Linked DNA regions of Arabidopsis thaliana. The protein of the gene in region 1 interacts with the protein of each later gene in a pairwise test. Each region holds a gene or a part of one and is shown on either strand. Other genes may lie near its edges. The genes, in order: MYB6 and AT2G42660.

What was found.
Region 2: the proteins of MYB6 (region 1) and AT2G42660 interact in a two-hybrid assay, tested with the Arabidopsis thaliana proteins (one large-scale study listed by BioGRID).

What each region holds. Positions count from the first base shown.
Region 1 is NC_003075.7:5,990,680-5,994,857, reverse strand, and holds MYB6 (myb domain protein 6), read right to left. Parts: upstream 1,951-4,178; 5' UTR 1,840-1,950; coding exon 1,577-1,839; intron 1,268-1,576; coding exon 820-1,267; 3' UTR 600-819; downstream 1-599.
Region 2 is NC_003071.7:17,766,349-17,770,502, reverse strand, and holds AT2G42660 (Homeodomain-like superfamily protein), read left to right. Parts: upstream 1-2,123; 5' UTR 2,124-2,244; coding exon 2,245-2,467; intron 2,468-2,552; coding exon 2,553-2,629; intron 2,630-2,709; coding exon 2,710-2,749; intron 2,750-2,826; coding exon 2,827-2,941; intron 2,942-3,034; coding exon 3,035-3,164; intron 3,165-3,255; coding exon 3,256-3,438; 3' UTR 3,439-3,453; downstream 3,454-4,154. Other genes in the region: AT2G42650 (Ribosomal protein L1p/L10e family), read right to left, coding at 3,855-4,154.

The DNA.
Region 1 (4,178 bases):
CTGCCACCTACCTGCCTAAAACATGTCACATGTCTCCTCCCTTATCTTATTCTCTTATTCTATATTTCTTTATTTAGTAATCAATTTGTATCTCTTCCAATCAGCTGCTTCTTCACATTCCTTTTCAATGTTTACGTCTATAGTAGTTCTTTTAATTAATTTCGTTGGCACCAAATTACGCTACAACTATAAGTATTAATAGAAGTTCTCAATTCTAGTTTTTTCCTAAACAATAAAAAGTTCTACAAACTAGAAGTTTGTTTGTTGAGATGAGGACCATGTGTCCTAGCACTATATATAAACTAACACCGAAAACCTAATGAAAAAAAATAGTTAACATAGTGAACGAGATATTTGTTGAAACTTGCTAGTTGCAACTATATGGTCCCCATTATAACCTAATTCAAGTTTCTAGAAGCTTTTGCTTCAAAAAACATATAAAAACTATGATCTATACCAACATGTAAAAATGGATAACGGTTGATCCATAAGAAAGAGTCCAAAAGGGACCAACCATGTTCACATTTCACTCCTACATTTATACTTCTACATTTTATAACAATATTGTCAAAATAAAATTCAAATTACTCATTTGCATTCCTAGACAATGGTGTAATATTCTTATATATTTCCATAAAATTATTTTGGAAACCATGTATCGTTTTTTTTCTTTTTCTTCAAAAGGTAATATGAACAAAAACTAAAACAAAAATACCAAAGAAACTGAAGTAAAGAATTTCTATATTTATCCAAAAGGACTCAAGCAAAAAAAAAAATGAAGTAACAAAACCCATTTTTTGGGATTTTTTTGACAAATTATTACAACAGTGACAAACGCGCCTCCATCACCGGGTCGCACCACGGTTTAGAATCAGCCGATGACCCGACTCCGACTATCCGACCCGACCAGGATCCAAACCCAAGAGTTAAATCCAAATTCAGCTTTATATGTCCTGAATTATCACTATAATAACACTCCCCATTCTGCCGGAGATCCTCGTCCGTCGTCGTGCCGCTAGTCGAAGCTCCGTTATCGGAGGAATTTTCCGTCTTCGGTTTAACGGCTAAATTGGAAAAAGAATACTCAACGGCATCGTTTTGAATAGGAACAACAACTTGAGACGACACCGTTTTGGATTCGTTAATCTGACGATGAGTTTGTGGATCAATACCGTGACTAAGAAGCTTCCTCTTAATATGAGTGTTCCAATAATTCTTTATTTCGTTATCTGTTCTTCCTGGTAATCTTCCAGCTATCAATGACCATCTGCAAAACAAAACATTTCAAATTCATATGAATAACAATAACAGAGGAAAGCTTTAACAAAAACAGAGGAAACAAAAAAGTGAACGACTCTGTTTCCTAGAAAGTTGAAACTTTTTTCCTGGGAAAGATCAAAGAAGAAGAAAGAGCAGGAAAACAAAGTGACCCAGTTTCTATTTTCTCTCTGTTTCCTAGAAAGTTGAAATCTTTTTCCTAGAAACAAGAGTAGGGAGAAAAAAAAAAGTGACTCTGTTTTTCTATTTTCACTCTGTTTTTTTAGAAGAAGAGAAAGAGAGGAAAAAGTTATCGTACTTGTTACCGAGTAAGCTATGGAGTTTGATGATGATTTGATCTTCATCATCAGTAAAATTACCACGTTTAAGATCAGGACGAAGGTAATTAATCCATCTCAATCTACAACTTTTACCACAACGCAACAATCCAGCGGATTTAGGAAGAGAACGCCAACAACCTTCACCGTGATTACGGATATAATCTACGAGACGTTGATCTTCTTCTTTAGTCCAAGCTCCTTTGTTTGTGTGAGCTTTTTCACAACAAGGAGATCTTCCCATGGTGAATGAAGAAGATGGTGTAAGAGAAGAGAGAAGAGATCAATTTGTGGGTTATATAAAAAGGAGGAGACTTTGACTAAGTTTGGTATATGTACATGTGACTATGTGGAGATAAAGTGAGGCTGTGCTTTGCTGTGTTGTGTGTGGGGTAATGGAGATTAGGTAGGTAAGTAAGTAACCTTCTTTTCTCTTTTTTTCTTGTCTCTTTACTTTTTCTCCTTAGATTTTGGTTTTTGTTTTTTTCTTTCTCTCACTGTTCTTATAATTTAGTTGGTAGTTAAGAAAAATACAATGCAAAAATAATATTTATCAAACATGTTATCTTTTGGAAAAAAATGTCATTAAAATTCTCAACTTATTGAAAACTTTGATTTAAATCTTGAACTCTCGGCGAACGAAACAAATATCAAACTTATGTTACTTTCCAAATAAATACCAAACCTTCTTGACTTTTCAAATAAATATCAAACTTTTGTTGACATGACTATATTAGGCATGATGTTCAGTAGGTTAATAGACCTTGAACGTTTAGTGTGTTAACATACTCGTTGATTGAAAACGACAACGTTTACTCTAACAATAAAACGTCATCGTTTTTGTCATAACGGCTCAATTAAATCTCCAGTTTCAAATCATATGGGGATTTAGAGATAGGAATTTTGCTTGATTTAGAGATCTTAGATTGAATTTGGGAATTTAGTTCAGTCATTATTACAAAACGACGTCACTCTGTTGTTGGAAACAATAACGTTTTGCATTAATGGGCCTCTGTTAACAAAAAAATTAACTCCGTTAACGGGATCTAGTAATTTACTTAACAGTGTGTCTAATATCGCCAGGTCAACAAAAATTAGATATTTATTTAGAAAGTCAAATATTTATTTTGTTTCGTCGAGAGTTGAGGATTTAAATCAATGTTTGCAATGAGTTGAAGATTTTAATGACATTTTTCCCATTAATTAAATTTAAAATTAACAAAAGAACGACGTCGTATGAAGGAGTTCTGAATTGTTTTAGTTAAATACAGTTTTTTAGTTGTTCCTGAAGAGAAAAATAAAACTGTGATTATTTCTTGACAAAAAATGTTTTTATTTTGCTTATCTTTCAATGGAGTTTTACATCTTTCTTTTATAGACTTCTTTAGAACAATCTAGAATCCTTGACAATGCTATCTTTAATCAATAGCTATTTATTGTGAATTACTGCAACGGCAGCGACTGCAACGGCTTGAATTTGTTTTCAAGTGTTATTGTCTTCTTCTCCGTATTAGTGACAGTCTTCTGTTTTGCAGGTAAAGAGCTTTTGGTCTTTATCTTCTTTTGCATATGTTGACTGGGCTTCTGTAGTGGGCTTTGTTGAGTTTGGGCTACCATGTCTTTGTTTTTGTCAAAGCCCGTTCTATTTATTGGGTTGTCTTCTACACCCTCCTTCAAACTTGGCGTGGGTGAGACCGGTGACGCAGACACGCCGAGTTTGGCTCTAAGCGTGATAAAGGGCCGTCGCGGTAGTGACTTGGTGAAGACATCAGCAAGTTGAATAGTTGCTGGGATGTGTTGCGTTTCTATGAGACCGAGAGCCACACGTTCCCTGATGTAGTGAAAGTCTTTATCGAAGTGTTTAGATCGTTTATGAAGAGCAGGATTTGCAGAGAGGTAGACAGCAGATAGGTTATCACAGAACACTCGTGTAGGTTGATGTTGAGAGATTCCAAGATCTCGGAGAAGAGAGGAAATCCAAGTGATTTCTCGAGCTGTATCGGAAAGAGCTCTATATTCGGCTTCTGTTGAGGAGTGAGAGATAGTGGGTTGTCTCTTTGCAGACCAAGATATCAGAGTAGATCCCAAGAGGATGCAGAAACCAGTAGTGGAGCGTCTAGTGTCCTTGCAGCCAGCGTAATCACTATCGCAAAATCCCGAAAGAACAGGGTTGTGGTGTTTTCTGATTGGAAGCCCCATGTTGATAGTTCCTTTCACATACCTGAGTATGCGTTTGAGAAGGCCAAAATCAGAGTTGGTCGGAGCGTGCATTCTTTGGCAGATGAAGTTCACGGCATATTGAATATCCGGTCTTGTGATTGTTAAGTATTGTAACTTGCCAGCTAAACTCCGAAAGTATGTTGGCTCTTCAAAGGGTTCTGAATTGAGGTCTTCCAAGTGTTGTGGCAGAGGGGTAGGCATAGGGTTGCATTCTGTCATGCCTGCTTGATGAAGAATGTCGGAAGCGTATGCGTGTTGATGTAAAAATAGACCATTGTTGTAAGATTCAATTTCTATACCCAAAAAATAGCGAGGAGGCCCAAGATCTTTCATCGAAAAGCGGTTGTTGAGAGCTTGAAGAAG
Region 2 (4,154 bases), on another chromosome or scaffold:
GGGAAACAGTTGTTATATTTTTTGTCAAAAAATAAATGGTTTGTACATATAAAACGTATCTAGTAAACATTCACAAAAAAAAAAATCCTCTGAAATGGTAAAATATAAAAGAATTTTCTTGGAAGAAGTAGAACTCGACAAAAGATTCTCTTAACCAAAGAAATTCATGTCGTTTAAAGAAATTCAAGAACTATTGAAACAATTTGAAATTATATATTCCATAAAAAGAGAGCATGGGAAATGGAGGAATTGTGAATGAAGTGTCGGTACGTAAACAGGTTAGGACAAAACAAAGTTTCCTCATCTTTCTTAGTGCCCACATGAGCCTCTACGATTCCTTCTCTCCCATCAATGCTCTCTTCAATCTTAGTTAATTACTTCGAATGTTTGTCCTATCTTCTCTTCTCTCTCATCTCCTATCTTTCTTTCTCTCTCTATCTGTCCATAACCCTAGATTTGAAGATCGAGGGCGATCATGGTAAAAGACTTCATAGAAATTCTATAACATTCAAGCTGTGTTTATATGAATACGAGCGTTGAAATTTGATCCCATCGCGTTTTCATATATGTTCCAAAATGCTTGTATAGATATGTGTGTGCATAGACATAGAGTGTCGGAAATTTGCATCGGGACGATTTATAATTAATTTGGTGTAGGGTTTGAGGTCCTTATTAATTTCACATAAAACTTGGTTCAATTTTGTAAAAAGTGTTTGTACTTATTTTTCTTGATTTGAAACTTATTTTGAGAATTTATGATTAACGACAGCTTATCTATGTTTACAAATACTAATTCAACTCACAAGATGACAATAAAGACAAAGATTGCACTCTAGAAAGAAAGTTGCTTTGCCTAATTTGAACAATTAAAAAATTGCATTCAAAGATAATATACCCGTAATTATTTATTAGTTACCTCTCTCGAATTATATACTGATTGGTAAGTTGGTAAGCCCTACAAAAACATATAGTTAGCCAATTCTCGAAGAGAAACCAAATACTAATATATGGAGGTGTGTAACCCAATGCCCATTGAAAAGGGTCACCAATAATAAAACCAAAAAGATAAAGACAACTTCTGTTTTGTACATACGTGAACTCAAGAATCTTTGGGAATCACATCCTTAACCATTTGACAAAACTCCCTTCTCTCTTAAGTTTTTATTTAAATTCTGTTTTCAAACGTTGGGATTGAAGACCGTCATGTATTTAACCTAAGTATATGAGAAACATGAATATAGATCAATAGCCATCATGATAAAACCAAATGCGTAGAAACGTAATTCATTCCACCACATAGTAATCGGTTGAGAGGTAGACAATAGTTTGTACCTTTTGTCTATCAGGGTTCGAATCAATCGGCTTAGATCGATAGTTCTCATGTTCCGTTTGAGTTCCCCAATGCTAATCTGATTTTTATTTTTTTAAGTTGTTTTGGAGACACTCAAAAACGTGGTTTAATATGACAAAAGGGTAAAGCGTAGTCTCCGGCAAAGGTCAACTTAATTGGAAATTATTAAAGAGAAAATTGTTAGAAAAACAAGAGTGGTTTGGTCGGATTGAAATGTTTGATACATCATTCACAAAACAACAATTCTAATGACACAAAATATTCGACTGCCAATTGTGTATACATATAGACTGGACTATTTGAACCAATATGCTTGATATCAAATATATGATTAATTAACCAATTTAAATAGCCTAGCCATTGTCACATGATATATATCAAAGGCACGTTAGGTAAACAGAAGATGTTTTAAGAAATGGTATAGTTTTTGGAATCTGAATTCATATTCAAATTCACCATATTTAAATCTTGTTTAAAGAAAGATATTATTTTTAAGAAGTAAAGGAGATAAGTTTACATGTCATTGTCACTAAAAGAACAAACGGATATTTTTCTGGTATGTTAACAAAAATGAAGCAAAACCTAATAACTAATGTGATTTCACCAAACGGAAGATTCCAACACACTTTTCCATTAAAAAAAAACATACAATTATACGTAAACATGCATGACATAGATAAGAATTTTATATATCTATATAATTATATACTATAGTTTACGACAAATAAGACTATATTATATACTTATAAGTGTATATATATGATTATAGCTAGTATTATTGAAGCCAACGCCGAAATTATCATAGAGATTTAACCTCTCTCATGGGTTTTTTTTTGTTTGTTTTTGAGTAATTGATCTCGAGAGCTAGCTAAAGACACTCTCGCCGGAGAGACATGGCCGGGAGATCTTCGCCGGGAAAATGCTCCACGTGGCTTGACCTGAACAGAGAAGAAACAGTGGAGAAGAACAATGAAGAAGAGTCATCAGTGGAAGACGAAGACCAAATCACGAATAACGTTAGACAGTATATTCGGTCCAACATGCCTCGGCTTCGTTGGACGCCTGATCTTCATCTCTCCTTCGTTCGTGCTGTCCAACGACTAGGCGGTCCAGACAGTAGGATTCTTGTTCTCTCTCTCCACGTCTCTTTCTCTCTTTCTCTCTCTCAGCTTTGTAATGTAATTGTTGTATGATTTTAAAGGAGCGACGCCGAAATTGGTTCTTGAGATGATGAATCTAAAAGGATTGAGTATTGCACATGTCAAGAGTCATTTACAGGTAATCTTCATCGTCTGTTATTCTAAGATTATCTCAGTTTTGTTCATCTTTTTCAATGTTTTCATGTTTCTGATTTCAAGATGTATCGAAGTAAGAAGCTCGAGCCGTCTTCTCGCCCTGGTAAGTTAGTTTTGATCCGCAGACATTTACCATTCCTTCACTGGGTTTCATAATTGATGGAAATGACTTTTGAACAGGATTTGGAGCTTTCATGAGTGGACAAAGAAGCTATTTGATGGACATGATCGACTCTCGATGTATCCCTCATAGCGATTTAAGACATGCCTATAACTCTAAAACCGTTCCTTCGAGGTCATACAAAGAAACAAGTTCCAGTTACTAAAATGTTTCACATTTGTATATCCGATCCGACCAAGGAAGTTAAAATTGCATTCTTTTCTGTAGGGTACTCAATCAAGACGCGGTCGTTACAAATCTTGGAGGTAACTTTCTTATGCGACCTTCGAGCTGGTTTAGCGGGTTATGCAGAAATGACCGAGACAGCACAGAGAACAAGACTCTGCCTCTACTCGAGGTAACTACCTACTTTCGTTTTAAGAGTTATAGAGGAACAGTTTTGTTAAAAACCGAGGAAGGTACTGTAATCTTGGTGAAATCTTATGCAGATTAGGAAGAAGAACAATGAGAAAAGAGTCCGAGATGAAGAAGTATCATCAGTCAAACGATTGAAATCAATGTCCGGAGGTGGGATACAGTTGCCTGAGTTTGGAAATTGCAGGCAAAAACCAACAGATGATATCAACACAATGCTCTCGCTCTCTCTGTTGTCGACATCATCAGAACCGTAACCAACATACTAGAGAGATGAAGTTTAACTTTAAAAGAGATTCAAGAGTAGAGACTTTTGTTTTCCTTAGCCGTTTCATGGGATGAGTACTTAGCCAGGATCTGGATCAGGCTTGAGTCAGATCCTGCAAGTACTTATCCTTAGCGGTTTCTCTGCATTCAATACAACACCAATTCTGGAATGCAACAAAACACATGTAATAATATGTTTCCTCGTCAAAACCACCAAATCAACTACATGGCAAGTCACTAGTTTGATGAAATAGTAAACGATAATAAAAGTCCTAAATATATAAGAATCATGATGATGATACCATAATAAGACAAAGTCATAATCAGTATCCAAAAAAATCACTCAAGCAGAAAGAATAGAATACTTAGTTATAACGACATTAATATAAAATCTTCTTTTCTTGGTTCACCTCCTCTTAGTCTTAGCTTTGAATCCACCACCAGACTCATCAATGTCCTTCTTTAGCTTTTTCGACTTTTGCCCATTCTTACTCTTCACAATGTCTGGTTTCCCACTCACTGCAGACTTACTACTACTCATCTTCTTCCTCTTCTTCTTATCTCCAGAAGCATTGAGATCATCAGCAACCTCATCTTCTCCAACACTCCTATCGAATTCATCATCACCAAGAGTCTCAGATACATTACTATCCATATATCTAACCTCATGAATCTTTCCATTCTTCTTCTTTGTCTTCACACTCTT